Linked DNA regions of Schizosaccharomyces pombe. Changing the gene in region 2 together with the main gene of any one other region gives a genetic interaction. Each region holds a gene or a part of one and is shown on either strand. Other genes may lie near its edges.

Region 1 (16,395 bases), on a different chromosome or scaffold from region 2:
AAATCACAGTCTGTTGATACTTCTGATGTTAGCAGTAGTTCTTTTGATACAGAGTTAGTCACTTAGAAAGAATGAAAATAAATCAACTAAGCGAGTCTGATTTGAGCCGTGCAGAGGGAATGTGCCAATTTGCTAGCACAGGTCATGCCGAGTTATCAAAATCAACTATGGTCCAAAACAACCGGGTGTTTATTTAAAAATTATATTTTAGTCTTTATTTAAATGAACAATATCTTTTATTTTCACTCTATAGGAAAAATACTCTTCGCACTTGTCTTGTTTACATTTTAATTCTCCGAAACTCCACTTCGTTAACTAGCTTTGCGAGGTTTTGGGATTTTATAAGTTTGTTTATTGTACACTGTAAGTAACGTTATAAATGGATAACACAGCAACCCTGTTTTGCTAACTGTCCTTGCAATTTGCTTTTACTGTCACTTAACTTCCTCCAAACACTAAACAATCATATAAACAAAGTCAGATGGGCAATTGCTTGTCTTGTTGTGAGAGTATGAGTGCTTCTTTAAATCAAAAACTTATTAACAAATACATAGAATCAAAAGATGAACAGTATGAGCCTCTTTTGGCCGATCGGGAGAGGGAAGCTGTTGCGGATTTATTAAGCTTTCTTGAAGATGTTAGTGAATGTCGATTACTTTAAATTCTTACCTTCTCTTGACTAACGTTATCTTGTTGTAGAGAAATGAAGTCAACTTTTACAGCGAGGAGCCCTTACGTGCTTTAACCATTTTGGCATACTCCGATAACCTTGATCTACAGCGTTCAGCAGCGCTTGCGTTTGCAGAAATTACTGAAAAAGGTAATGACATAAAAACAATAGTTTTGGTTTAAACAATTCCCAACTTCGGAAATGAACAATGAGGTCTTGATTTAACAAAACGGAAAGAATATATATATTGTGTTATCAACTTTCTTTCTTTGTTTTTTTTACAGTGATTGACTAACACACTTTTTTTAGATGTTCGAGAAGTTGATCGTGAAACTATAGAGCCCGTCTTGTTTTTACTCCAGAGTCCTGATGCTGAAATACAGAGAGCTGCCAGCGTTGCTTTAGGAAACCTTGCTGTAAATGCCGAGAATAAGGCCTTGGTCGTCAAATTGAATGGATTAGACCTTTTAATTCGTCAAATGATGTCTCCTCACGTTGAAGTCCAATGCAATGCTGTCGGTTGCATTACTAATTTAGCTACCCTTGACGAAAATAAATCAAAAATAGCTCATTCTGGTGCCTTGGGCCCTCTTACCCGTCTTGCCAAAAGCAAGGACATTAGAGTTCAAAGAAATGCAACTGGAGCATTGTTAAACATGACTCACTCATGTAAGTTATACATTTGTCGCTAATTATTTGTTAATCTATTGAGCTTTGTTTTGAGCAAAAAGTTTCAATTAGTGGTTGTCTCATAATCTATGGATATCAACTAACTATGATACTAGATGAAAATCGACAGCAACTTGTCAGCGCTGGTACTATCCCAGTGCTAGTATCTTTGCTTCCTAGCTCTGACACTGACGTTCAATACTATTGTACTACTTCTATTAGTAATATTGCTGTTGATGCAGTACACCGTAAAAGACTTGCCCAAAGTGAGCCGAAACTCGTTCGTTCTCTTATTCAATTAATGGATACTTCAAGTCCTAAAGTCCAGTGCCAAGCTGCTTTAGCATTAAGAAACCTTGCCTCTGATGAGCGTTATCAAATAGAAATTGTTCAAAGCAATGCCCTACCCTCTTTATTAAGATTGCTTCGTTCTTCCTACCTTCCTTTAATACTTGCTTCCGTTGCCTGTATCCGTAACATTTCTATACATCCTTTAAATGAGTCTCCGATAATTGATGCTGGTTTTCTTCGTCCGTTGGTGGATTTATTATCTTGTACGGAAAATGAAGAAATACAGTGTCATGCTGTTTCTACCTTACGAAACTTAGCTGCTAGCTCGGAGAGAAATAAGCGCGCTATTATCGAAGCTAATGCTATTCAAAAACTTCGCTGTTTAATTTTAGATGCTCCTGTTAGCGTGCAAAGTGAAATGACTGCCTGTCTAGCCGTTCTTGCTTTAAGTGACGAATTCAAGTCGTATCTTCTTAACTTTGGTATTTGTAATGTTTTAATCCCATTGACAGACTCTATGTCGATTGAAGTCCAAGGCAACTCTGCGGCTGCTCTGGGTAATCTTTCTTCTAATGTCGATGATTATAGCCGGTTCATAGAGTGTTGGGATTCTCCAGCTGGTGGCATTCATGGTTATCTGGTCAGGTTTTTAAGTAGTGAAGATTCTACTTTTGCCCATATTGCTGCTTGGACCATTGTACAATTACTAGAGGCTGGTGGTAAGTTTTTTTTAGAGAATTTATTGACGATTTTGTCTACACACGATATACGGAATATATTCTTTAGCTAACTCATTATAGTTCCACGTTTAACTGCATTTATACAATCTAGCGACGATATCATCGAATTACTTAATGACATAGTTGCTAGAGATGCTAATAATGGAGAGTATGAAGATGGTGAAGGCGATGTTATATTATTATCTGGCCGGGCATTGCATTTAATTGAACAGGACACAGATTCTTAATTTTTATTTTTATTGGCACATTATATTACCCTTCATCTCTTTATATTTTTACCGTCTCAACCCCGTTTGCCAGTTCGGAAGTCTATTTGACTTAATGACATGAATCACATTTTATTAATGATTAGTTTTTTAGAAGATGATAAAAGTTCGTCCGTAGTTGATTCCAAATAATAAACTTATCCCTTCAACACCTGAATAAAACATGTGACATGGAAAAACTAACATGCATATCTTAATAAATACTACTATGAAACCAAAAAATATCAAAATGAACCTAAACTTTAAGAGCAAACAAATGGTTGTAATATATGATAAATAAATGACACCGAAAACAGAAATCCTTTCTTAAGATTTCTTCTTGTTTGATCGGAATTTACCAAACAGTTTTGTCCACAAACTGACCCTTGGAGATGCCTTTTTATTAATCTTCTGCGATTTTTTATTGGTTTCCGAAGAAGCAGTAACAGTGACCGGTGACTTTGCGACGATCGGTTTTGTATTGTTCACGAATGGCGGTGATGTGCGAGTTGACGGTTTACTATCTGTAGCAGCTGAAATAACCGACCGCGATGAAATGTTATTAGCAAAACTCATGGAAGGAACAGCAGTATCAGAAACGGTGGAAATCTTAGGCTGGGGCTGTTGATTGTCAACAACGACTTTGGTACTCTCATTTGCTACAGCATCATCATTTTCTTGGTTACCCGATTCATTATCGGAAGAGTCATTGATTAAAGGAAGCTTCGAGATATGCTTAACATTAGGATAACTTTCCTCAGATGCATTCACATTTTCAGGTATCTGTTCTGGAGAATCTTCTTTCGGGACTGCAGGAGTAAAAATAGCAACTTGGTCAGTTAACCCAACATCAGAAAAACAATTGGGTATGTCGAGAGAATTGATTTTAAGTAGTACCTCTGGCCAGTGAATAATCAGTCCCTCTACAATCTTGGCTTCAACTCTAGCCTTTTCGGTTTCAAATCTCATAAGGTCATTCACATTTCCAGAAGGACAAGATTTCGAAAGATCAGTAGAAGAGTTACCCAACAATAAAGGACCAAAAATAATACCAAGGGCTTCCGGCTTCATCAAAGTAGAGTCTTTGGTATTTTCCATTCCATTTTCCAACTCTTGAGTCCGTGTAGCTATTTGATGCAATAATGCTAGTAGAGAGCAAAGGATAGAAAAGCGCACGTAAGAATCTATTTGTGAAAAGCAAAGAGCGGCCATTTCATTCCGGATGTCTATAGGAACCTTTACTCTACTTGAATCAACGTATAATGGTACTAAAAGATTCAATATATCTTTATGCGTAAAAAGGCCACCTGGCAATAACATAATGTACCGTTTTAAGACAGCTGCTATATCGATATAACTTGGAAATCCAATACGCTTAAAAATTTCTGATGTTTCATCAAGCCAAAAATGAGGTGGAGAATAAAAGTATTCTGTGATTGCTTTTATTACGGGACCAGAACCACTAATGCGGAAAATTCCCGGTACATGCAAAGCATTTAAAGATAGAAAATGTACGCATTGAGCAAAAATATGTGGGAGCAACAAAGAAGGAGGTGCACATTCAGGAGTGGGAAATGTAAATTTGCAAAGATTTGTGGGATCTGACGTTAAATCGCCGATAGGTTTACCAAATACGGAAGGATTATGAGCAATTGCATTATGTTGATGTGCATTACGATGAGGAAATTTAAAATAATTCGTTAAAGAACGACGATGCAAGCCAGTGGACTGACGTTTTGGAGAGTAAGTAAGAGAGGGGCGGCGGAGGATAGAGGACCAAGATCCCTTGGAAGGGCTTCGCTTTGGAGAATCTTGAGAGGCATTGAACTGTCTTTGAGAGCCAAATGAAGATGGTGGGTATTGGAGAGGTTCCAACGTATCTGATGAGGATAGTTGATTCGTAGCCGACAAGGAGGGAGAATCTTGTGAAGTTTGTAACTCGTGTGAAAGGGAGCTTAGATTTAGGGATGACCTCCCTAGAGGACCATTGTTTGAAGGTTTATCAAACCGAACTTCTGATACTGCGCTTTCTTGAAGGTAAAAGCTAACATGTTCTAGGGAGGACGGAGTATCTCTCTCTTCCAATAGTGTCGAGTGTATCAGCTTAGTAGGGGATCCACATGGAGTGAAATATTTATCAGTATGAGCATCTGGAGGTGAAGAACTTTTGGATTCATTAAATACGCTATCGTCGGAGTACAGAGATTGTTTAACCTCTTTTATCTGGGAAACGTACTCCTCGAGATTAATTTCGTGTATGTTGTAAGTCTGAGCTAGCTCACGAAAGCGTGACAAGCACGAATTTTGCTTAGTAAAGAAAGGAGCTTGCTGTCCCTCCAAATTGCTTGCAGATGATGAAATTGATGTGGAAAGGCCATTTTCCACTTTCGCTAACGATCCTCCCACCTCTAGCGACGGTTCTTCGAAACGTTTCTCATCGGTCTGCGCATTGCTAGACAAGACGACATCCTTGTGCTCTTTCAGGTCCCCAAGAGTTCCATTGTTGAGAGTCGAAGGATTTAAGGTCATACTTCTCCCAACAATTTCAAATTTTACTACACGAGGTTTTCGAGGCCCGTAAAAGCTATAAACCTCAATATATACTCTCCACTGATAGAATTTTGAAATAAATGTCGATTAGAGAGACGTTGGCTTTGGTAAGAACCGTTCTACATCCGTTACTTACTAAGAGGTTCAGCCAAGTAGCAGGCGTTGAAAAGTAGAGTACGAGCCGAAGCGAAAGATAGGTGAACAAGTAGTCACATATTGAACGAACCAAAAACTCATCTTCTACACGGACTATTGTAATTTAAGGAAAGACAGCAGCTTTCAAACTCCCATGGTGCAGTTACTAATGGAAGTATTCCACTGAGAAATCTGAGAAGCAATCTTATTATTAGTTCGTAAGGAATTCAAATGTTTGGCACCAAAGCAGATATTGTTACTATATGAATTGATAATTTAAATAACAATCTCATGCTTAAACACACTTTCAAGCTATTGGAACATGAGACACAAGTATAAACAGTTCCATAGATGAGCCTCGCAATCGAGCGATTGTTTCTCGCTTAGATATAACTGTATTTTTTATGAGGGTACATGTGACTAGCAATGCGGTATCAAAAAACCAAAGGACAAAATACAAAAAACAGGATTAGCTGTTATCCAGAAAAGAATCAAATGCAAGCATGAAATTTTTTGAATAATTTTCTGAAGCACAAACAGCTCTAAGTATCAAACATTAAGAGTTGCGAGAACCGCCTAAATGGAACACTCGCTTTCATCATCATACTTGATGGTCTGAGATTGATCTGGAAAGTGGAGTGAACGAACACTAAGAATGAAAATGCTAAATTTAAATTGCTATCTATTAATATATAATTTTTCTTATCGTTTGACTTACACTTCCATTCTAGAAACTTGCAAATAGGGGCAGTAAAGATAGGCAGCAGAGGCCCTCAAAAGGACTGAAAAATTATTTACTTCACCCAAAAAAGCGTGGGCCAAGTTTATGGAAACATCTTAGCGAATATCTATCATCAAGACGAAAACAATTATCTCAAATGCAAACGGTAATAGAATGCTAACAAGCAACTATGATAACTATATAATGCTTTATAAATCAGTCTACCTTTTTTACCTCCAATAAACTACCACATTTCAAATCAAAATTTTCATACACCACATACTTTACGGATTTTTTACACATTAAAAACAAGTGAAGAAAAAACAATTCATTTAAAATTATATCTTAATCTATTTCGTAGAAAGGTCGTCAGCTATAGAGATCGCCCTAGGAGCGCAATCAAAATGATAACGTGGAATAAAAGAGGAAAATCTCATACATGTCTATCATTATCGTAGCAAACCCCAGAAAAGGAAAAGGGGGAAAACAAGCATAAGAATAAAAAACCAAAAGTTCGCACATATGTAAGACCCCCCAAAACCGAACGCATGTTCAGTTGAATAGCTTGGAGTTTAACAACGGCTGATTAGAGAGATATAGATTGACGACGGAATAAATCGAAAGAAGCAATCTAATCCTTGGAAGCAGTGTAGGCAACCAAGTCAACAACACGGTGGGAGTAACCCCATTCGTTATCGTACCAAGAGACGAGCTTGACGAATTGAGGAGAAAGTTGGATACCGGCAGAGGCATCGAAGATGGAGGAGTGGTTGTCACCACAGAAGTCGGTGGAGACAACAGAGTCCTCGGTGTAACCCAACACACCCTTCATGGGACCCTCAGAGGCAGCCTTGATAGCAGCCTTGATGTCCTCGTAGTTGGTAGGCTTGGCCAACTTGACGGTCAAGTCAACAACGGAAACATCGGGGGTAGGGACACGGAAAGCCATACCGGTAAGCTTACCGTTAAGAGCGGGAATAACCTTACCGACGGCCTTGGCGGCACCAGTGGAGGAGGGGATGATGTTGGCGCTGGCGCCACGACCACCACGCCAGTCCTTCTTAGAGGGACCGTCAACGGTCTTTTGGGTGGCAGTGGTAGCGTGAACAGTGGTCATGAGACCCTCTTCAATACCGAAGGTGTCGTTGATGACCTTGGCAAGGGGAGCCAAACAGTTGGTGGTGCAAGAGGCGTTGGAGATAACCTTCTCGGAGGGGTTGAACTTCTCCAAGTTAACACCGACGACGAACATGGGAGCATCCTTGGAAGGAGCAGAGATGATGACACGCTTGGCACCACCCTTCAAGTGAGCAGAGGCAGTCTCCTTGGTAGTGAAGACACCAGTGGACTCAATAACGTACTCAGCACCAGAGGCAGACCACTTGATGTTGGCGGGGTCACGCTCGTTGTGGACATCGATGGAGTGACCGTCGATGACAAGCTTGCCACCCTTGGTCTCAACGGAGCCCTCAAAGCGACCGTGGGTAGAGTCGTACTTGAACATATATGCCATGTAGTCAAGATCGATGAAAGGATCGTTGACAGCGACAACTTGGATCTTGCCAGTGAGGATGGCGTTACGGAGGACGATACGGCCAATACGACCGAAACCGTTGATACCAACTTTAGGAATTGCCATTGTTATCTGAAAAGAGTTAGTAAGAAGAAGAGATCAAAGAGGAGAGAAAAAGGCAAAAAGAAGCGAGAGAGGGAAGAAAGCGAAGAGAAGAAGAAGAAGAAACGATGAGCGTCATTAAAAGAAAAGATATCATTATTGAGAGAAGAATAGAAAAGAAAGTATACTAAAAACAGCAGCTTTGTCGCTTTCGGCAAGTCTATTTTAATTTCTGACCAAACTGCCGTCAAGCGAAAAATAAAGCCTTCTTTACCGAAAGAAACGGAAACTAACGAATCTTATCACGACTTCGTTGTACAATTTCACCATACTGGATATGACATGTTTTCGTCATGTCAAGTAAAATCAGAGAGCCTCTTCTCTTGGCAATCTCACTGACCATTTTCATTTCAATTCATCGCTCAAAATCCATCTTTTTCAACTAAAAGAGAATATCAAAAGAAAATATCCCTTCCTTTTCCTCAATCTATTTTTCCCTCTTGGCAGGTGTTTGACACATGTCACATGTCTCACCAAGCCAATGCTTTGCCAATGCCACAGCGCATCACATACCTAATTAATTCGATTGCTATTTCTCAAAACCAAACAAGTACTATTGCTGATTTCTTGATACTACAAAGAAGCAGACTGGCCTACCACTCCTATTTATATTGTATGTGTTTACGCTAGAGTTGTCATGCCAACGACGGTATCGTAAGCGGCGATTTCCGTGTTCGGTACTTGGCAGATCGGATAATGAAATTAGCGGCCTTCTAGATAACTTCCCATGCGAATATTTTTGGCTCATAATCATACAACAATCGACGCATTGCGTTGACCTTTCCCTCGCCTCGCTTGACAGGAACGAGAGAGGCAAGGATGGAATGGCATGGAATGGATGAGTTGGGATGGCGGTGGAAAAGAAAAAGAAATGTAAACAATGAGTGTAGAGGAAAGAAGAAGAGAAGAGAATAGCATAGCATAGCATAGCATAGTAATCAAGAGGACAAGTGGGAGAAATGAGACAAGTGGTAAATCCAAGTCAACTGTGAAATTTCGAATGCAATTGGATTCAATCCATTTCTATTGATTCTATAAAAATGTTCATTTACTTCACTATTCATCGACTCACTTCACTAATAGTCATCGAGTATATCTGCTGTGTGTGTCAGTCTCGTCCCTTCCATCATCCATCAATCCGCCCTTGGAATGGCGTTTCCAATGCCTAGATGGAATGGAATGTTTAGAGGGTTGGCCCAGTTAGCTGTTGTTAGGCTGACGATTCTTGCATTGAATTGCATGATTTTGTTTGACCGTGCTAACAGGGCTATTAGCAAGGCTCATGGCATCCCAGCGGCTCCTCGGGAATAACGAGGTGCAAAGTCTCGTTAACATCATCTGTTTGTGAGGGAGGATGGAGGAGGGTAGGAGGGTAGGAGGGTAGCGAAAAGGTAGGAAGGGAGCGGGTTAGACGTGGAACATGAAGGAGAAGACATAGAATAACAAGGAGAAGATATAGAACAATTGTTTACAGTGCACAGTTTGGAAAAGAGATTCAGTTGGAAAAGGAAAATCGTTGATGTTGAGATTGTTATTGTATAAAGTTTTTGCTTTCTATTGACATCTCTCATTTACCTACTACCACTTTCCACTCCTTTTTCTCTCTCTCTCTCCCCCCCTACTTTATCGAGTTCAACAATACTCTGCTGTCCGACTATACTGAACTACGACGCTTTGCACTATGTTCCTCTGCGCTTGACTGCCCAGGACGTTCCTTCGGTTAATCGTAAGCTGTTTCTTCGGAAAAAATTGATCGGCAGTTGGGACAATTTGAGTTTCCGGGGCGGTTACAAGGTCTTGTGATGGTTGGCGGATTCGGATTGAAAGAACCCTAATTCACCTTCTAGAGAAACCTTATGTGAATGAGCTGACGAATCAACCATCGACGAGGATCCTTTCAAGGTCCGGGATGCGCTCATCCTCAAGTCCATACTGGTTCCGAGAGTTTCTATTGCGTCACTTTTTATGTAGGCGAAATTAATTTTGGCGGGCCACCGTCCGATAAGAAAGGAAAAGGAACCGAAGGAAGCAGGAGGAAGCAGCTGAAACAGCGCGAGACTCACATACAGAGAGTGAGGAATAACACAGTAATGCAACGTAAAAACAAAGCCATCAAAAAAGAACTTTGCTCTATGGAAACACACTGTAAGCAATGGAAACCCAGAATTGTTGTCTTCATAAAGGTCAATGAGTAACACAAAAAAATATGAGTTTTTAATCAATTGACTACTTCAATCCATTCTTTCTTCATTCAATTCCCATTCCCATTCCCTTCAAACGGCCGAACTAGTTTCTTCCTTGTCCTCCATAACGAGCAGTGTCAACAACGTGCACTATCCTAACGTAGAGTGTCATTCTTTCCAAAACATTTTAGCACATTGCGTTACCTCATGCATCACAGTAATGGGGTCCAGCTCGCTTGCTAATTTACCCATTCTCCTTGCAATCCACCCCGCACTACACTATGCAACATACCGTGTTTCACCGTCGTCTCTCCATATTCGCTTGAGTTCTTGGCGTTCTCGCAAACAAACTGGATGTCTCATAAAAGGAATTCCTCTTTTTCTTTTCTTTTTTTTTTTTGAATCTTTCTTACTCCCTTTGTCCTTCGCACACTTGATAAAACAGAGGAAATTGATTTTCAACAAAGCAATTGACTTTAAACTAAATTCACTTTGTTGTTCATTCACTTGTTATCCATCGATTTTGTTCGCTTCCTCGCTTCCAATTCAATTCATTGCACTCCCACCTACTGTATTTCTTCTCTTCTTCAAATTTTATTCCAGACTCTTTTTTTTTCGCATCATCCCAAGTCACATACTTTACAATTCATTTCGCATCGTTCTTTTTCTTTCGCACGCATCCCCCGCCATCCTACATACTATTTTCACATTTACTCTATCCATCCCAAATTTACCCTAAATTATCTACCACCATTCAAATCCGCTCTCTACCCAACAACCTCATTTACATGTGCCAATTCCTAAATCACATGTTTACCATGATATGTCTAACGGTATTCGAGGCGTGATTTCTAAAAAGTCATGCAATTCAACATAAATTTTCCCCAAAATTCATCGATAATCCTGTTACCTTTTTTTGTTATAAATATTCATTCCCTTTTCTCTTTTCTTTCACATTTGTCAACGCATTCTCTCACCGTTTCACTTGTCTCAATAGCTTTTTTACAAGAGCGTTCACTCCCATTTCACTTATTTCTTGTCTCCATTTTTTAATTCTCTGTAAATTTTATCCAATTCCTTTCTCAATTGCTTTTATATCGAGAAACGAATTAATTTCACCTGACTATATTGATTTGTAACCCAACCCACTCATCATTGATCGCACTTTTCCTTACCCATTTGTTTACTGGATTCCATCCGATAACCTATGCAATCCTAAAATAGCGAGACTCGTGAAGTAACATACTGCGGGTCTCGCTATTTCGGTGGTGGTTTTCTTCTCACTATTTCTCTATTTCACGATGGGCAAATTTTTCTTTATGATGAAAATATCTTTTTCCCTTTCACGTTCCAAGTTCTGAAATCATTACTTACAAATTACTAAATTTCCTTTCTAACATCTTTCTCACTACTTTCCTAAATTACTCCTCGATGTGTTATTGCCATTGCTCCAACTTTCTCCGTTCTTTATACTTGAAATACAGTTAACCCTTTATAATGACTACCATTTTACTTGCTATTACGACTCGCTATTTTTGCGTTATATTGCTACTATTTTCAACCTTATAGGAATTAATGTTTCAAGACATCGATCTATTGAATTTAATTGGTTTGATTTGATTTGAATTATAATCTACTAGGAGTCTTTTTCCTTTTCAGAACTTTTTCTACGTTTGTGTATGACACTGTCTCTTCTTCAACTACATCTACATGAACGAATCTTGCCAGTAGTGAAGGTTAGACATTCTATTTTTTCATGAGAATTTTACAACAGCGACATGCTGTTTTGCTAAATTTGGATGTTTCAATTTGCTATATTTCTAGAATCAATAATACGTATTATACAAATTTGCTCTTCATTTCAATGTAAATAAAAGTATCAAGTTTTTCTATTCAGTAGACTTAGCGTATAGGGTTGACGTAGTGTTGTTGACTGAAGTGTGGCATATATTACTAGCGAAGCTTTTTTTTTTTTACACTTTGCTTTAGCGAATTCGCTTAACATTTGCCGTCAAAAATTGTTTAAAATAGGAATGCCGAGTGAACCACCCCCCTAAATTGCCAACTGATTAAACGTGTTTCATTAGCACTTGACTTTTGGAAATATAATAATCATTACTTGAAACTAGTTATCCCACTTCGCATTGCTTACCCACACCTACAAATACCTTAACATCAAATCTTTATTTACCCTTTCCCTCTTCCAAAACGCCAGTTTGTTTTAATAATGCAATAAAAAAATACTCTATGAACATACAAGGAATTACCATATAATGGCAACATTACGGCGTGGTATGATATGTTATGATATGAACAAGCAACATTTCAAACTACATAATTAAGCACTATCAAACAGAAAACACATGTGACCACATAGCCATATAAATCACACACATATATATATTGAAAAACTTCATAAATTCGATTGTCCCAATAAAATCGATTTTACCCTTCCATTAATAGCATCTTGTCCGCAATTATTTTTAGCCTATTTTTGAATCCTTATAAAAAGCATTTTCCAACTTCTACGTTATCAAACTTTTTGATCATAAGTTCAATTTAAGCATTACCGTACCAACCTCCTGGTCGGTTTATAAATGACTGGTTGTATGCATTATAGCCTCCTAATCCATTACTACCTGCATTGGTAGATGCTCCAGAGTTGAACGGAAACCCAGCGGGTTGGCTGTTTGCATTGTTGACCTTGTTAGCATTGCTTTGAAAAGAGGTTGTCTGCTGAGTAGCAGCATTGGTCAATGGCGTTTGTTGAGGAGGTAAGCCATAAGGAGAGGCCGCATTGGCACTAAGGTTTTCAAAACTTCCAACATTACCCATAAACATACCAGGAGCCGCACGTCCCATCCCTGACATGGAAGACAAACCACCCAAAGTACTTGACATGCTGTTCGCCCCGGTTACGCCTCCATTTCCAATCACAGAGTCACGATGTCCAGCCGCTTTCTCAGTCATGCCGCTAGTATTTGCAGTGGCATTATTAATTGGGTTGCTAGTTTGTGTTCCACTCATACCACTTACATTGCCAGGCTGTTGTCTGTTGTACACGTTGCTGTGTCCACCAAAGATGGGAGGGAAATCATTAAAGCCGCTCTGAGACATGTATCCTTGCTGGGGCTGTCCAAACTTGTTATTATTGTAAGGCATCGTACCGTATCCATAAGACACATAAGGAATAGGATACATTGGAGGAAATGCATAAGGTTGGGGCTGTTGTTGAGAAACAACAGGGCTAGGAGTCGCTGTTCCAGCAGCAGGTAGAGAAGTAGCATTAGAAGATGCAACCTTGTTATGCATTACCGAGTGCACATCTGGTGTATTCGACGCACTACCAGCGACATTATCATATTGTGAGTATTGATTACGCTCATTATAGTAATGAGCTGCTGGTGCAGCTTGACCATATTCAATAGGAGACATAGTAGTGTATGCTGGATGACTAGTCTGTTGATATTGTTGAGAAGTATTTGAAGCATATCCCAATTCAGTACTATGGTCGATGTGTTGAAAATTGTCGAATGGGCTATTGGCGGAGCGGTTTTCCACAGGATTCATAAATCTAGAAGAATATGGAAGTGCAGTTGTCTCCCCAGCATTTGAAGATGCAGTTTCGTTGTTAAAAGCAGCTCCGGTAGACGGAGGAATAAGACTAGCACCAGCATATGGTTGAGGGGAAATTCCATGTGTAGCAGGAGAATAAATACCGCCATATCCGGCACTTTGTTTACCAACCACCGGGCCACTTGTAGCACTTGTGGATGCAGCGGGTATAGTCGTTTGGGCTGATACTTGAGGAGGGATGGCCGAGACAGAAGAGGCGTTTCCACTGGCCGGTAAATTTACATCGTGTAAACCACGATATGGTGTCTCGTTAACATGAGATTCCTTCAAGTTTTCGGGAACCTTCGATTGTGGAGCACGGCTTTCATATGCTGAAGTGTGTTGTTTCTTTGGGATTTTGGTGGATTCAGCAACTTTGCTCGCCTCTTTTTTTGCCTCTGGCTTTGGTGAAACTGTCTTTTTAGGAAAATAGGAACTTCTTGGTCCAGACTGTGCTATGTTGTCTGAAGAAGACTTTGTCGATTTTTTGTCCTCACCCCCAAGTGTCAAGCTTCCGAAACGCACTTGAACCTTTTCGGGAATAGCAGCAGTATTAGCAACAGGCATAACGACGGGGAATCTATCAGAAAGTAATCGAGCAGTAGTCATACTAGTTGTAGAGCTTTGAGAGCCAACAGCGGCTTGCTTCGCAAAGGAGGGCTTAGGTAGGGAAGCAGAAGAGATGTTGGAAAGCCCAGGAGCGGGCTTGACTGCATTTATGGCAAATGGGGCAGTACTCTTTTTGGGAGCTGAGGTAGCTGTGGAGGGGGTCGTTTCAACATTTGCGGGAGTTGCAGAGTCCTGGGATTTGTGAGGGAAAGGAACAGATGAGGATGACAGTTCAGCAGGTTTTTCGTAAGCAGCGGAAACATTAGTTTTAGAGGGTTGAGAAGGAGCGATAGAGGGTTTAGAAGGTTCGGATTCGGGAGCGGGAGCGGGAGCGGGAGTGACCTTTTTCTTCGACTTTGCAACTGAAGCCCAAGCCTTCTTTATAGGCTTTGAAGATGCAACAGCCTGATCAGCCGCACTGGTCGACTTTGCTGAGGCCGAAGTACCGCCTGCGGTGCCGTTCGTATTTGTTGAAGCAGCGGTATTAGCCGATGTTAAAACTGAAGCTTGTTCATTAGATGTAGTATGATCTTTCATTGAGGAATCTTCATTAATAGTACCAGGATCAACGGAAGAAGACACTGTCGTTGATGCAGGAGCTTTGGTAGAAATTTCTGAGGAAGGAAGATCGCCAGTACCAGCAGGCTTTTCTAAAGAGGATGGTGCATGAACGGAAGAAGGATCTGAGGGAGCTCCTGCTTTTGATTTTCGAACCCCCCGAGAAGTATCCTTAGAAGCGGAAGGTTTCTTTGATTTACGTGTAGCATTACGAAAGGTGGAAGAGACATTATCGGAAACTGGAGCATGACTTGTTGGTTTGGACTTTGTTTTAGGGATTGGCTTCTTTTTAACTTCACCCCATTTGGAGGCGTGACCTTCAGTAATATGCAATATGGTCAGTTCCAAATCCCGGTCCGCTTCTTCTAAAGCAAAACTTAAATCATCAATCGTCCAGCTAGGAAACAGCTCTTGCAATACGCTTAACTGCGAATCACGATCAAATTCGAGCTCAAGCGCATTTGATCCCTCTATATTACTAGTCTGAGACGAATTTGCCGGGCCAGATTTTCCTTTGGTGCCTCGCCTTCCCTTCGCTCCTCTCTTGGCGGAAGAGGATGAAGTTTTATTATCTTGCGATATATTTAACGCTGTATCTGTGTGTTGCTTTTCTGAAACTTGTTCGGTATTTCCGACCTTCTTTGGCCGAAACTTTTTATTCTCACTCATTTTTGATTCTACTTTTCTTTACAAAAATTAATACAGGTCTTGAAAATCGACAAGGCACGTGTATTCGTGCTTCAAGACGATATGCAAGATTTTTCGTGTTATTTAAGGGTAGTGGTTCTGGCTGCGTTTTGGTGTCGTGCAGCATAGTGCTTTTGCTTAAATGGAAATTGCCTATACCAGAGCAAGGTGGTAGTGAATGCGCTAAAGTGCAAACTATAGCTTTCCTTGAAATTTTTATACATAGAAAAACTTATAACGTTATAAAGAACAATGTTATTGTTTAAATTTTACTTTACTTTTTCTTCATTTTTGCGATTACCTTTTCTAAAAGCTTGATTTATATAGTAGTGGAGTGCAGTTTACTATTGTATTTAACGATTTACCGTTGTGTATCTTTATTGCTCTTAAGACAATAGCTAGTTAGCTGCTTGCCTGAATACATGAAAATATGATGAAAGTAGAGCTCATTGTATTAACTTTTCTATTGCCCAATTTCTTCGATACTGTTAAAAGATGTGCAATTCGTTTAGCTAAATTCAAGTTGACTAAACACCTTTCGTTCCATGCTTTGCTATTACAGATTCCTAACACGTTGGTATGTTTAGAAATTTGCAATGCAATATCGGGTATTCAGTTGGTCAATTTATGAAAACTTTAATTACTGCTTCAAGTAATAATCCATCCGTTCTAATTACGCGGCTTCAGTAACATTCGAAGCTCTTCATTCACTTTGTTGGGTTCAAGTGAACCACACTTATAAACGTGATGCCCTTTATCTAAAAAAATAAATATGAAGCCTGCTAATATTAAATTAACAATAAAAACAAGAAACATTGCTTTGGCCGGGAATCGAACCCGGGTCGAATCGATGGCAACGATTCATTATACCACTAAACCACCAAAGCTTGTTAGAATGCTCTATTAAAAAGCATATATCTATTTAATTGTAGAGTTATAAAAACATAGAATATTGATAAAATAACATTATAATTTATTCAAAAAAACTAAATTGTACAGCTGAATAATCGCCTAGTTATATTAAGATAAATTCTAAAAGCATTATTA
Region 2 (14,715 bases):
ACTATCAGTTTTCTATCGACGGAAACAAAGAGGTACTGTTAGCTGAAATCCCGAAACAGTACATAGTTACAGGAAATTTGCTATATCGTGTTTTGGAACTAGAGGATTTTGCAACCCAAATGGATGCATCGATCGTTATGAAGAATGAGCTGATCGCTTTGAATGAACACATGTTGACTTATTTACCTAGCATACCTCAGGAAGGTATTCGTTTGGCAAAAATTTTGACGACGTTTACTAAAATTTCCGAAAACGTATTCGAAGCACCCTTCCAAGAGCAATTTTTTCAATCTCTACAAATGGTTTCAGATGTAAATCGCTACATGGCAATCGTATTTTCCAGTTTTGATGATTGTTAACTATTAAATATTCTACTATATAACAAACTGTGTCTACCCTGCCAAAGGTCCAGCGTATACCATGACTGAGCAGTGTCCTCTAGTTGCATGTTCAAAGCTAGTTGCGACGAATCTCTAAGTAAACTTTCGGTTTGAGGATGAGCCAAAGTGGAAACGTACTGGAAGGAGGTCAAAACATCTAAGCGAACAGCTGCTGAGCAAATCGATTTTGCATGCCCCAATAAGAACAGATAACATGTCCTTTCTAACGATAATCCCAAGGCTCTACATACCACACCCCAAACCACTGGGAAATGACCGAGTGCCTTTTTACTACGAACTCTTCTTTCGTACTCATCCAAGTATTTGAAGACATCGGTTGATGTAACGAAAAAGGAGAGTGATTTTGTCCAAATATTTAACAAAGATTTACCCTGCATGGTGGAGACCTTTTGGGCAATTGTGCATGTCTGTGTGCTTTCAAAAAAGTCTTCGATTTCGGAATATTGTTGCGGTGACTCCCAAGCTGCTTTGACAGTTGGCAAATTGGTATGTAGCACTGAATTGAGGGACAATGGTAAAAAGTTGAAAAATGCATTGACGTCTCTCACCTGCTGATGAGACAAATACGACTCTAACCCATACGAATAAGAAAAAGATGACAGAGGAAACGCAGTGTCTGAAAGAATTAGCGACAAGTGTGTTTCCGTTTGCGAATCAGTCATGATTGTAATGAAATTAGAAAGTGAAAACAAAAAACCACCAACTATAATCAGTAGTAGTAAGGTTGGATCTAAGTGTTTTGGAGAATAGAAAAAAAAGCTATCCCTGGGTGTTTACTTTTGCGAAATGTGTGTGCATATCTAGTATATAAAACGCTTTTTAGTATTCAAAAAAAGAGAAGAAAAGAGGAGTTTAGGAAGTTGTGAAAGTAAACTTTTAAACCCGATTCTCTCAGTAATTATCGAGCCTACAACTCAACGAAACGGTGCGACAAGAATAAAAAATGATGGAACGCTATTTTTTGGTATGTCTATACAGCATCAAAAGGTTGAGAAAACGGTTTTTAACCGCCTGGTATTTGGATGATAATTTGTAAAATACGAGAAAAGGTATCGTAGAAAAGAAAATGCAAAATGAACGACAAGAGGTGGTTAAATATTAAATATGAATCGTGTGTATGGTCAAATGAAGGACTAAGCAGAGAAAAATTTTTGCACTCATGCAGATCCAGTTTCTTCTTATCATCAAAGATCCTGCACCTGCAGTATACAATCAATCCATCGTTACTGGAAACAATATAGGGATGAAAATCATGCAACTCCTTATTATTGACATTCACTAGTGATCACTATTTAATAAATAAACATTTAAAAATAATGGAAAGGGCAAACAAGAGTCTATGAGAAAGGGAAGAGAAGCATGGATGAGCTTTTCATTTTCCAAGTCAATGATGCAAAGATTTTTTACTGAACATAGGACGAACGAATGTAAAAATTACACAACGTTTAGATAGTCCATTATAGTGGTGTTATTAAGTTCTACAATGGTACTTTCAAAATAACGATTTCTAAGTATGAGTGCTAAGTGAATTAGCAAAATAAAGCACGAGTGTGGGAATTGTAATTTGGGAAACACCTTTTACTGCAGTAATTACAACTTTCTTCATAAATGAATGTACTGAAAAGAGGATACAAAGGAAGATGTTTGGAAGCATTAAATTTACTGACCTCAGTTATTTCAGGAAAGGAAAAGCAAGTTTTGATAACTGTAAAACAATAACATATAGTATACAAAGTAAAGTAGAAAAGGCGCTGCTCAATTAAGTAATTCCTACTGGACTTTCTCACGAGACAATGCTTTAAGCATACTTTATAATATAAATTGCAATGCTTTTATTAATTTTAATACAGATGAGCTAATCTATTTAAATGACTGTAATAGACTTTCACTTCAGTTTTTACTATGAATACATATATAATGTTTTGCAATGAAATAAAAAAGGCAAATAAATGTCAGCATTAGAAACAGTAAATAAAAATTAAAAATTGTTTAAAAAAAAAGCAAACGAAGGAATTCATGAATGTTTACAACAACCCCACGAAAAATTCACATGGAAAGTGACAAATTTGTGCATGGAACAACACAGTGAGCTCATCCACAGTGAATAAAAAGAAAGTCCAAATAAAGGTTATTTTCGTTATAATACAAAGATGTCGTAAAGAACGACGATCAAAGAAAAACAAGTGAGCAAAAAGGAAACTCTAAAAAAAAGAGAGAGAGAGAGAGAGAAACTCTCCGAGTATGTGTGTGTGTATGTTTGAGTCTCTTTTGTGTATGCGAGAAGAGAAAGACAGCAGGAAAATAAAGAAGAAATAGAAATAGAAATAAAAAGTCAAAACTATTTATTGTAGCTCAATGAAAGCCAGTATCTCACGCTGACCAAAAAAAAAATGAAAAGAGAAAGAGAGCAGAAAAAAAAAAAAAAAAGTTATTGAAAACAAGAAACAATCAAAACCATCTATTTCAAGATGACATGTATGACAAAGAACGCTAGTCAAAAAAAAGGCAATTCATACAAAGAAATAAAAAAAAAAAGAGAGAGAGAAAACAAAGGACTCCTATAATCATAAAGCAAGATTACCAACAATGGACAGAGATGGATAAAGAAAACCAATGGTGGAACAAAGACAAAAAAAAAAGAAAAAGTGGAACAAAACAAAATGCGAATCAAAGAAATTGAACAGAAAATTGAGCAAAAAAAACTTTAGTTCTGAGACAAACAAACAAAAATTTTCATCTTCTTTAACTTTTTCTTTCTTTTTTTTTTCTTTTTTCTTTTATGTTTTTATTTCTTCCATCCATTATTGATGTCTCGTTTGAATCCCTTTCTTTCACCCACCCCTCTCTTCCTGCAGTCTTTTTCGTCATGCCATTACCCCATCTTTTCAGGTAGCATCGACTCAGCCTTGTGACTCCAAGTGTGGGGAAGCGAAGGCGGAGAAAAAAGGGATTAGGAAGGGTGTCGATCATGACGCAATGCCATAACATCTCTGATGCACAACACCGTATTATAGACTGACTAAGCTTGCCGCGGAAATCAATTAATTGTCAAGAAGGCAGAAAAAAGAAAGAAAGAATATAAAACAACAACATAAAGCAAAAATAGAAAAGACATAAAAAAAAGACTGACCCTCTAAAGTCTTGTTTCCTTTTTGTTTTTCTCCTGGACAATTAAAACGACGCTTGTTTTCCGTGCCATACTTGAGACTGCGATACCACGGGATGAACAGCCTCTTCTAAACCAACCTGCCATTTTCTCTTCTTTTCCTTCATCCATCCATCAATCATACTTCGTCCTGCTTACTTGTGTGCTCCATTGCATTATCACCAAACCCTCCTCCTCCTCTTGGCCTGTTTCGTAAACCCACTTAACGGATCTCGCCGAGGTACACACTCACGGAAATATGCTATATGGGTGGTGGAAGTGAAGAGGTTGGCGCCACGATTGCAGTGGATGACGATGCTGGATAACAATGGAGTTGCGGGTGAAAGGACGAGTAAGGCACACTTACATTCAATGTAGCAACCCAATACGTATGACATTTGGCCACAGCAAGGAGATAAATAGAAGGTTGGGCACTAAGAGTGAAAATTCCATTCCCAAAATACAGTACATATATATTTCATCCTTCGTAATAACAAATACCGAATCGTATTCATATCCACCCTTATTGATCATCAGCGAGTCAAGCTAAATTACCCACCCACTGACAATCTAACAACAACAATAACAAAACAAACAATAACCAATTGAGTTGAAAATTGTTATTGACAGTCCAATCCAATCCAAATCCAAATCAATTTGAAATTGAATTTCATCCAATACTAATTGACTAATCGAATTTCTTCAAATCCACCGCAATGGCAAATCGTTTTACTTCTAGTGATCAAACTCAAGAAACCCATGGTCATCATGTTGACAAACACTCCTTCTCCGGTAGACAACGCCATCCTTCGATGGGCGTTCATTCATTCAACGAATACATGAATGAATATCCAGAGGCCGGACCTTTGGTCCAGGAAGAGGAGGATGACATGGAGAGCTCCAGCTACCATGCCACTCAGGAAGATATCGGCGACGATGACTCCAGGTCCGAGTCTACTCGCAACCGTTCCAGTCAACATACTGGCCGTGTTAATTTCTCGTCTCTTGGCGGTCTTGGCAGCATCTTTGGAGGAAAGAAATCACGCTCCAAGAGCGCTAATGGAACACAAAAGAAAAATGCAAACAATAACGAGGAACAACTTGATGAGGAAGAGCAAAACGATCCTTATCTTGATAGGGATATAAGCCTTTTAGGTAGTACTATTTGATTGCTTTTGTTTTTTTTTTCTTACTCCCTTGTAATTTTTATTTTTTGATTAGTCATACCCTGACTGACAATGTTGCAGATTACATTTAATTATGCCATCCATCCCCTTTCACGTTCACTGCCATTCATCCCTCACCATGTTCCCCATACCATTCTTTGAGATTTCGAGACATGATGGCACGACCGTAGTGTTTGTGTATGTATGTGTCTTTGATGAGTTGTTTATGTTGTGTTTATGTTCAAGTTATGAGAAACGAAATACTCGAACCAAATCGAGTTGAGTTCTGTTTAGTATCGTTAAAAAGAGTTTGTTTTCTTTTTTTTTTATCAAATTAGCATTATATTTTCCTTATTTTGCATCTCGCAATGCTTAATGGCAAATATCTTTATACAATCTCCATTTGCGTGCGTATTTATTTGTATCTGATGAGCGTGCGTGTGCTTGCCTGCTTGTCATAATGTACATCCTGTATTACCCAGTTTGAATAGTTCAGTCGTAAATGTAAGAGTGTTATGCTAATATCTTTGTTTTCCTTTTTTCATTAAAAAAAAGAGGTGTAAAAAAAGTCTCATTATTTCTTCGAAAAGTATTCCTTATTGAAGTTTGGAACACAAGTGGTTATTATTATCGTAAAGTTCCTTCTTCCCTAGAAAAATACAAGTTCCCCGATATTTTAATCATTATTCATAAAACAAGCTACAGATTATGAAGAATCTTATCCACGTTATCAAGCATAAACTGAAGAGCCGTACTCTTTTTGGTAGCATGCTGTAAATCAAACCGATTCACCTTATCTCGCATTAAAGTAGGTGCAAATACTGTAGAGACATTTTTCGAGTTCATCAAATTTTTCTCCGCGTGCTTGCATACACGACCCAAATGTGCAATCAAAAATCGAAATACGCTCAAATGTGCAGGATGAAGCGTTTTCATTACTTCCACTACCCGTTCAATTTTTTCCTCTTCCTTTTCGATTTTTTCCGCTTCCAACAACTCCTCGTATTGAGTGCCAGGTATAACTGGTTCCGGTAAGCGATGCAAATATGTTTTCAAAACCGACGTACAGGCAAACAAGTCAGAAGTCAAATGCTCCATTCGGATAGACCCGTTTTCAAATTCGTCGACTAACACTCGGACCTGAGAAGCACTGCCAGATATCCTATAAATACCTTCAACCTCCAATCCATGCGCATCCACGCAAGAAACGCACATAGCAATTACTTGAGGCAAAACCGACCCTTCAATTTTCAATTGATTTTCTAACGATCGTCCAAACATCGTTGGTGAAGGCCCAGGAGGAGGCATCCTCGTTGGCATTTCCGGCATCCATTTACTATTTTCACTTACAGTTTCACTCATTGTTTTCTCATGCTCCGACTCTGCAAACAGCCTTTTTAAACACCGCGAATGGCATGAAATTGAGCAATGAAAGCAGCGGAGTTCAGATCCCCATACGCTCTCCGAGCATATATAACACCTTGAGGGCTTGAATATGGCATTAACATGAAACACATGGTCACATTGAGTACGATCTTCATTTCCTACTACAGGATCGGCAGACTTTGATTTAGTATGCATTGATTTGAACGGGACTTTACGGTTTACATCTCTTGGTTGCAAATGCATACTTCCCTTTTTTCCCTTAATGTCAATTCTCGTAGTCACATTCAAATTTGGTGACAACGGACCAGGTCGACCTGATGACTGCCCAGAGTTGCTACTCACGGCAGTAAGTGGATTAATACTGCTGGTTGTATTTTTGGAAGATGTGGTAATAGTATGCTCCAAATTGGATTGGTTTTCAGGAGGTACTCTATGCTGAATTTGTTTTACCAAATTGTTGTTTAAGTCGGCCAACTCGAGATTTTTGGTATTTAGGTGTACAGATGCTTCAAGCGATTCATTTAAAATTTTTTGTACATTATTGTAATCGTCAAGCAGCTCATTTCTCCTTTCCAAAAGATTGTTTATTTCAGTGCCGTAACTCTCACGAAGCATTGCCATGTAAGCATTGGCGGCAGCCACCAAATCCTGATGTTTCGGATCTTTCAGCGTGGGATCATCTGTCACATCAGCAAACGAAAAAAACTTTTCACAAATTTCAAGTTTAGCCGAACGAACAGTATCCTTATCTTCCGTACGAATAAACTTAGAGTTGTCAAACGTAGAACTTGAGAGCCTTTCGGACAATTTTTTGGTAAGAGCAGTAAGATTTTCCAACTGTTCACGCAATTCTTCAACATCCGAATCTCGCTCTGATTGTGCTGGAGTTGAAGAATGATCGTTTGTCGGTAAATGGTACTCTCCATTAGATCCCAGCGAAGGAACGAGTGTTTGCTGAGAAGTCTCAGAAAGAGAATGCGAATGCCGAAAACTTTTATGGCCCCCGCCATTTGGTTTGGGAGAAAGAACCTGAGGCGGTGAAAGTAGCTGCGCAAAAGATGAAAGGTCAGATGGCTGAGAAGAGGTTTTTTTATGGGTTTGGACATTCGGTGAGCGGGTTCTCGGTGAATGCGTATCACTCGACCTGTAAGAGGGAGAAAAAGGCCGAAAGGGAGAGGTGGCATTGTGAAGAGAACGCATATGTCCATTCATGACAATTGGCTCTGCTCGGTCAGTCAATGACATGGTTTTATAAGGAGAAGCAGAGCCAGCAAAGTCGTCCAGGGCTTCCTCATTAATTGTGGGTTTTAAGCTGTCCGAGGAAGAGCTATCGTTAACAGGAGTAAAAGATTGTTTGTGAAACGTATGGAATCGATTCTTCCAAGTATTTTTGCTTAACGGAAATGTGGCTGTAGGAGACTCAATTTGTTGCTGCTTGTTAACTTTTTGTAACGGAGATATAGAAGGTGAAATAGGAAAGAAAGAATCGTCATACTTCATCGGCGATTCAAAACTCGTAAACGAGGAAAAACTTCGATTTTTGGCACTAGGCAGCAGCGAATCTGCAGAATTAGACGCAAGATTACTATCCTGTCCATCGTTCGGCACATTACCCCCTTCTGCCTGACTCATGTTAGTCGGTGTTTCGCTAACTAAGCGGTCTCTGCTTCCACCAAAAGGTGATAATGGTGGCTTTTGAGGAGACATAATTTCAATGCTTAAAGACTTATTAGATTCCACTGAAGACTTTGTCTCTGTGGGCTTAATCGTGACATCAACCTCAAAATTGTGATAATCAGCGCTCTCGTCTGAAGACCTGGAAGGGTGACGGACTTGTTTACAATCATTACAAAATATAGTCCTATTATCTCTTTTAAAGTTAGAGTCAATTATTTGCTTTCGGCAATCATGGCAACGAAAACACTCTCTGTGATAGGAGTCGTAGCCTGACATTAGGGCATAGTCCTTGATCCTCATACGACACGCTGTACAGGTATGGGCGCAAGAGCTACACACCGGTCGTCCATCAGAGGTTTGCACCAGCATTTGATCACTGTGCTCCAATCCTTTATCGCACTTCGTACAGCAGAAGCAATCCTTATGCCACATATGACCCCCAAACGAAATAGGTGTCTCTCTACGTTGAAATGCCTGTCCGCAGCGAAAGCATACTGTGCTTCCCTTGCTTGATGGAGATTTGGAAATACTTTTTCGAAATATCATCTTATCGTATATATGCTCTTCTTATTTCCTGCTAAACGTTATGAACTTCAATCTAGCGTCATGAATTTGGCTTTGTTGATTTTTATTTTCACAACGATTCCTTTGGGTACCTATTTTCATTCCTCAGCTTCCCATCAAGTAAATGAAAATATTCCCAATTTTATGATTGAAGTTCGAAACAATTGGTAAATGGCTAAGGAATAATTATTACTGCAGTTGTTGGCATCATTGCCCAGTGGAGCGGTGAGAACGGCAGTAGCGAGTCGTTCACTCTAATCCCTTAAAATTTGCATGCGTCGTACACATGGCACTATGGTCTTTGGCTTGCCTTGCCCTAGCCTAGCGAAACACTATGGAAATTATCGCCGTGTTCTACGATATGGTGCGTAAAATTGCCAAAAGTCACATGGTTTATTACGGGAGTTTAGACGAAACGGGTGTTATGAATAGCTATTAAATACGATTATAATATTACAGATAATTAATTTTAATGGGTTTGGCAGCGTTTCCGCTCTCTAGGCTTTTCTTTCCACTCAAAAATGGTGATATTTGTGAAAAGGGAAATTGCCGAAATTAGAAGGAAAAAGGAAAATGAACTGTTTTTCTGGCTTAAATAGCTTTACCTTTAGAAAAAACCCGCTAAAAAATGGTTAAAGATATATACATTCCTGATCAAAAAACACAGAGGACAAAAAAAAAGAAAAAATTTCGGTAGCAACAGGAGTAAACAGAAGGAGAGATGCTTTCTAGAGAAAAAAATTTTGTAGACGTTTGTAGCGTGAACGGTCGGATCGTCAAATAAAGGGACAAGAGAAAATGCTCGTTTCCAAAAAGTGTAGAATTTATAAAATGTGTATCTCAAATAGCGGGGTCGCTATAATTGATTAAGTAACTATTGCTTTTAAGAAGGAAGTAAAGGCTCCTAAAAAAAATTTTTATAGTTGTGGTGCGAATATTGGGACAATTATACGGAAGAAAGCAATCAGTTTTTAACAAAAAAAGTTTCAGAATATTGTGAACACTGGGACTCATCATTATAAATGGCAATAACTGATTGCTATAAAGAGGAAGTATTAAATTTTCTTTCTAGGAAAAAACAAACTTGGCAGAAAATGACGATAAAAAGAAAGGATTGCTATCCAACACAGAGGCAGCGCTAAAAAACAATTTATGTTTTTGTAAAGGCTTCAAGACTGTAGTTCGAAAATGAAGACATCTATTTTAAAGGGAGTGACAACTCCCAAGAAGAGACAGGTTTTGCAAGTTTCCTTTCAGGATCTTCTGTACTATTTGGAAGATTAGACAAATCATAGGATATTAACCCTACATATCCGCTTTCAAGTTCAGATACGACTTCAGCTGCACCCGGGGCATGGGAAACAACTGGATCCTTGTAATAATAACATATAGGTTGAACTTCATCATCACTATCGGAATGTTCGTCAATGTTGTGCAAGCTCTTGGAAGTTATTTTAAGAGTCGTAAACACGTCGGAACCTTTTAACTTGTCTTTCATTCGCTTTTGAGCCAGCAAATTACTAAGTGGTATAGTTTCAAAAAGAGCGTCCTCTGTCGACATCTCATCGGTTAAATGCAGCACATATTTCCAAACAAAGCTTTCGTAGTTTTTGGATTGAATCATGTCGTAGGCTTCGACGCTGTCATCAATTTCCACAAGACTTTCTTCTGCGACACTTTCATCCATGAACATTTGAGCATTATCAGGATACTCAGCCTGATTAACAGATTTCTTAAAACCATTGATGCTAGTCTCATCGGCGGGTACAGAATCTACCTTGCGCTTTACATCATGTTCTCCAAGGTTACCATCGCTTTCATCTGTCGAATGTTCCTTAGAATCAAAAAACATGGTGTTTTCGTTATTTTTTGTCTTCCGTGCTCTGACTCGTCCTAATTTCAGTTTTGATTGTCTTTCATCAGATTCCATTATGTGTATATAATTTTGAAATTTGAGACGTTTGTTTCTTTTGTAAACATTCATCTTTTGTCTAGTGGGTAAATACTTCCAAAATCCGGGTATATTGAATCGGTGAAATCGTAAAAATTTGCCTGACAGAACAACGTCTCTATTCTTGATAATAGGTTTTCTATGAAAGGCATTGTTAGCCTCTAGTTTCCTAAACCTAGACTCCGCCAAAAATATAGATGTTCCGATTAATTCCTTCAACTTGCTTTTAATGATTTGTAATAAAAACTCCGTAGCGCCAGCAGAAAGTGGATTGCTTGGAAAAGGCGCTTGTCGATCGAAATGATAAAACCGTTCAGAAATCTTTCTCATCTCATTTGTATCAAATAAATCCTCATTTGAGGTTTTGTTTTTGACACTTTGCGCATTATAGTGTGAAGTTTCAACCCCTGAGATATTCGAACCCTCAAGAAGTCTTTCCGCAATTTTTTCTTCCCAATCAATCCAATTCTGACTCATTTCCATTGCAATAGGTATATCTTCATATTTCAACAAACATTGACTGCGCACGGATGCGTCTACGTGATTACGAAGCCAACGTAGCTCATTCTCTAAGGCATTTATGTAACGCTCGATCTGCACAGCGCTTTTAGAAGGAATGGAGTAAGCTATCAAATCTAAATCTCTTTTCCCATTTCGAGCAACCGCTTGAAAAAACAGTTCTTTTTCTTCTGCACTCCAGTAAGTTCCATCCACACAAGAGCCACTAAGAACGCCCCATTGTTCTTCTTCCAAATCAAAGTCACGCTTATTTTCAGTCTCAACTTCGTATTGTTGAAGGACGTCTAGGTATCGTTCATCATGAGTCATGTACAATTGCTCACTTGAGCCAATGATAGATGCAGTGCTTAAAGGCGTTGACCCTTCACTCTCATTTAATCCGTTTATTGAAGAAGACATGTTATTATTGAGAACATGATCAACGCTAATGAAATAAAAGCTGTTGCAGTCTTCTTTTTAATATTTTTTTGTTTACCACATTACCAGACGTGGTTTGTGTTCTGACAAAGATCAAACTCGGTATTCTAGTGAATTTCGCTAATATACTAAAATCCAAAGGAATATATAAATGTAGAGTATCTCTAAAATTTACGGGTTTTAAACATAATAAAAAAATATAAATCGTGCTAAAATCTAGCTTACCGCTTATTGAGTACAAATTTTTTGCGCATGTACAAACACCTTAATCAAAACTGTGAACAAAAAATTGAAAAAGGCTGAAATGCATATATCAGACCAAGAAAAACTCCGTATATGTAATGATCTCTTGTAAAGTAGTTTGTTAACTTCCAAAAATTCTCAACCTGAAAAACGAATGGACAATTGAATTCAAATATCATTTTATACCAACCATATTCATAAATATAAAAAAAGGGCAAGATGCGTCAAACAACGTGTGCTTGAAGTTCCTAATTTAACGTCTTATTTTCTTCTTTAAACGACGTATTTTTTCTTTTCTTCTGTCCTGTGTACGTTCAAATTTGCTCTCATACCGAAATTTCTTTTTGGCGGCATTTTTAGGCTTGTGGGGACGCAAAGGAACATCTGGTGGAGGAGAAATACGAGGCGTGACAAAACCTTCTTTAGGATAAGCAATTTCTTCATCATCATCGTCCTCTACAATTTCTACCGTAACATGCTTATCATCTTCGTCATACTCAGTAGTTTTAGGCTCCATTGATGACTCTTCCTCGCTGTCAGATTTAGATGAGGAATCTTCTTGCTGTGAAGATTCTTCATCATTTTCTAGCGAGCTATTCAACTCTTTAGAGAATGCTAATCGCTCAGCCAGTTCTCTTTTGCGCTGTTCTCTGAGCTGAATAGTGTTAGTGATATACTCAAGATAGTATTAGAAAAACTTACAGATTTCCTCAACGCTAAACGTTCTTCGCGTTTTTGCTGCTCCAATTGAACTTGAGCATGCTTTCGTCGTTCAACTTTGCGTTTATGAAATCCAGTTAAATACTCTCTGTAACAAGTTAGTAGCAATCCCTTTATGATATCCATACTTTCGCTTCTCTTTATCAAAGACGATCTCCTCCAATCTTTGCTTCTTCCCTTTCTTCCTGCTGTAAATCTCACCTCCACGGGTTAGTAGAGATGTATTATCCATGATGCAACAGTTCGTGAGTAGCTAGAAGAGAGGGACAATTTATGGGAATCTGTAGTGATTTTAAGTAAATTATCTCCAATTCTATCCAGTCTCGTAATGGTCCAGTAGATTTATGAAGACGAGAGGTACTGAAACCCTACTATGCCTTGTACGTACATTTGCACTACTAACTAGAAAATTATTTGCAAAATGCATCGCATTTGCCTTATATTATATACGGATATTGGTATAGTGCAGTAAACGATTAGTTGGCTATGCATTGCTTTCCTCTAGCTATTACACACAGAAACCAACGTGTGCCGAATGTTTTGCTCAATCAGTGGAGAAACGCCAAAAGAACCGGTGATTTCTCGTGTAAGTGGTATGTTTGTACAATAATTTCCCTGTCTGACTGAATGTAGGAAATGTTTACGAGAAGCGCTTGATTGAACAAGTTATTCGTGAAACGTCTAAAGACCCTGTTACTCAACAGGAATGCACGTTGGAGGACTTGGTTCCTGTAAAGGGTAAGATTTCCTTCTTTATTATTGAATGGTTAAGAATTTCAAGTAGCACTTATTTTTTTATACGTGGAGTACTGAATATTCTGAAATTGGTTTGGAAAGTAAAACCCTGCAATATTGGTTGAAGAACTCGTTTATTTTCTTTTTTTTGTTGATAATGTATTTTATTGCATGATTGATTTGTACTCGAAATTTTTTAATTTTACAGCTTTATATTTCTCCTTAAAAAGTGGACTATTTAGTGCATGTCAATATCTCGGGGCAGAAATTAGGAAGGTTTTTAGAGAATTATAGAACAACCTTGTCGGATTTATCAAAACAAATCTTTATCAAAATTAATGTGGAGTTGTTGAGGAAAATGTATTAATACTTTAGATTTTTTTTGGTTTTTGCTCTCCAATGCGATTTATATTTACTATATTTTGATTGTACTGACCATTCACATATAAAGCGAATCAAATCGAAGATAATTGCTAACCTTTAAACAGTACCTGATTTTGTTAGACCTCGACCTCCTTCTGCCACTTCATTGCCTGCATTGCTGTCTCTCTTTCAAGAAGAATGGGATTCTGTCGCGCTTGAGCAATTTGAACTTAGAAGAAATCTTACAGAGACGAAGCAGGAGTTATCAACGGCATTGTATTCGCTAGATGCTGCGTTAAGAGTTATATCTCGGCTTACCAAAGAAAGAGACGAAGCTAGAGAAGCATTGGCGAAATTTTCCGATAACATAGGCACTGTTTCCTCGAAAACTATTGAAGTACAAGAGGTAGAGATGGGCGAAAGTGATGACCAGCTTAAAACTAGCTTACGCTCTACGGTGGAAAAAACATTTCAAGAACTTTCTTCCAAAAGGAAACGTACAAAGTTACAACCTAAATGGGCGACTGACGATGCTGTGAGTCAGCTCTTGCAAGCTACTCCTTCTACTATCTTAGAAAATTTGGAAACAGAAAGCACTACGTCTTTCTTCCCGTCCCCTGAAAATTCTTCTTTTGTATTATGTCTTCATAAGGATGAACTTTTATGTCTAGATATCCAATCCAACAGTACTCTCAAAATTTTTGAAGGATCAGCTTTAGCGTGTTGTTGGTTGACTTCTTCCAAGATTGCTGTCGCTACTGCTGATGCCATTTCAATTTTTGAATTTCCTGTTTCCTCATCTGGTTTACAAAGTGTGGGTGAACCTACTTCGTCCATTCCTATAGACGAAAAGGTGAACTTCCTTCAAGCTCATCCAAGTGGGGAATATTTATTAGCAGCATCAAACGAAAAGTGTTATATTTTCTCCCTGAAATCCCAGGTTTATAATATCACCGTTGCTCAACACATTACATCTCTTGCTGTACATCCGGACGGTAACCTCTTTGTCGCTGGGTTAGAGAATGGCGAGTTACGCTTTTTTGAGACTTCCTCGGGAAATGAGCTTACAAAATTTGGACCACATTCAAGTCCAGTTAAAACATTACAATTTGGTGAAAACGGTTATTGGCTTGTAGTAACAACTAATGATGACTCTGACATTTTCATTTGGGACTTAAGAAAATCTGAGCTTGTTCAAAAAATACCCCTACAAACCAAAGTCGCAGCAGTGTCATTAGATATTACTAGTCAACTTTTGGTAAGTTCGGATGGGGAGACTCTCTATGTACATATTTATGTCAAATCTTCAAAGTCTTGGAGATGTATGAGTCAAACCCATGTTTCCTCTATTTCTAATTTGGTTTGGTTAAATGAGTTACACCAGTTGTTGTTTAGTACTTCAAATGGAGCCATTCTCCGGTTGGGTTA

Evidence for each region.
Region 1: of rga3 (region 2) and rga6, changing one enhances a phenotype caused by changing the other (phenotypic enhancement), as found in Schizosaccharomyces pombe (one study listed by BioGRID).

The regions. Positions count from the first base shown.
Region 1 is NC_003423.3:569,996-586,390, reverse strand, and holds rga6 (Rho-type GTPase-activating protein Rga6), read right to left. Parts: upstream 5,247-16,395; 5' UTR 5,145-5,246; coding exon 2,943-5,144; 3' UTR 2,598-2,942; downstream 1-2,597. Other genes in the region: protein Vac8, read left to right, coding at 482-509, 555-637, 700-820, 980-1,339, 1,456-2,349, 2,431-2,597; glyceraldehyde 3-phosphate dehydrogenase Gpd3, read right to left, coding at 6,653-7,660; RNAPII degradation factor Def1, read right to left, coding at 12,439-15,330.
Region 2 is NC_003424.3:5,120,518-5,135,232, forward strand, and holds rga3 (Rho-type GTPase-activating protein Rga3), read right to left. Parts: upstream 8,517-14,715; 5' UTR 8,322-8,516; coding exon 5,412-8,321; 3' UTR 4,716-5,411; coding exon of another isoform or gene 4,263-4,715; 3' UTR 4,097-4,262; coding exon of another isoform or gene 3,875-4,096; 3' UTR 2,811-3,874; downstream 1-2,810. Other genes in the region: pex3 (peroxin-3 peroxisome import protein), read left to right, coding at 1-359; urease accessory protein ure6, read right to left, coding at 356-1,063; SPOM_SPAC29A4.22 (uncharacterized protein), read left to right, coding at 3,875-4,096; protein mug108, read left to right, coding at 4,263-4,715; RNA polymerase I upstream activation factor complex subunit Rrn5, read right to left, coding at 9,538-11,208; rRNA exonuclease Rrp17, read right to left, coding at 11,723-12,124, 12,172-12,277, 12,318-12,421; Prp19 complex subunit, ubiquitin-protein ligase E4 Prp19, read left to right, coding at 12,725-12,782, 12,823-12,927, 13,413-14,715. UniProt on the Schizosaccharomyces pombe protein: GTPase-activating protein for Rho-type proteins.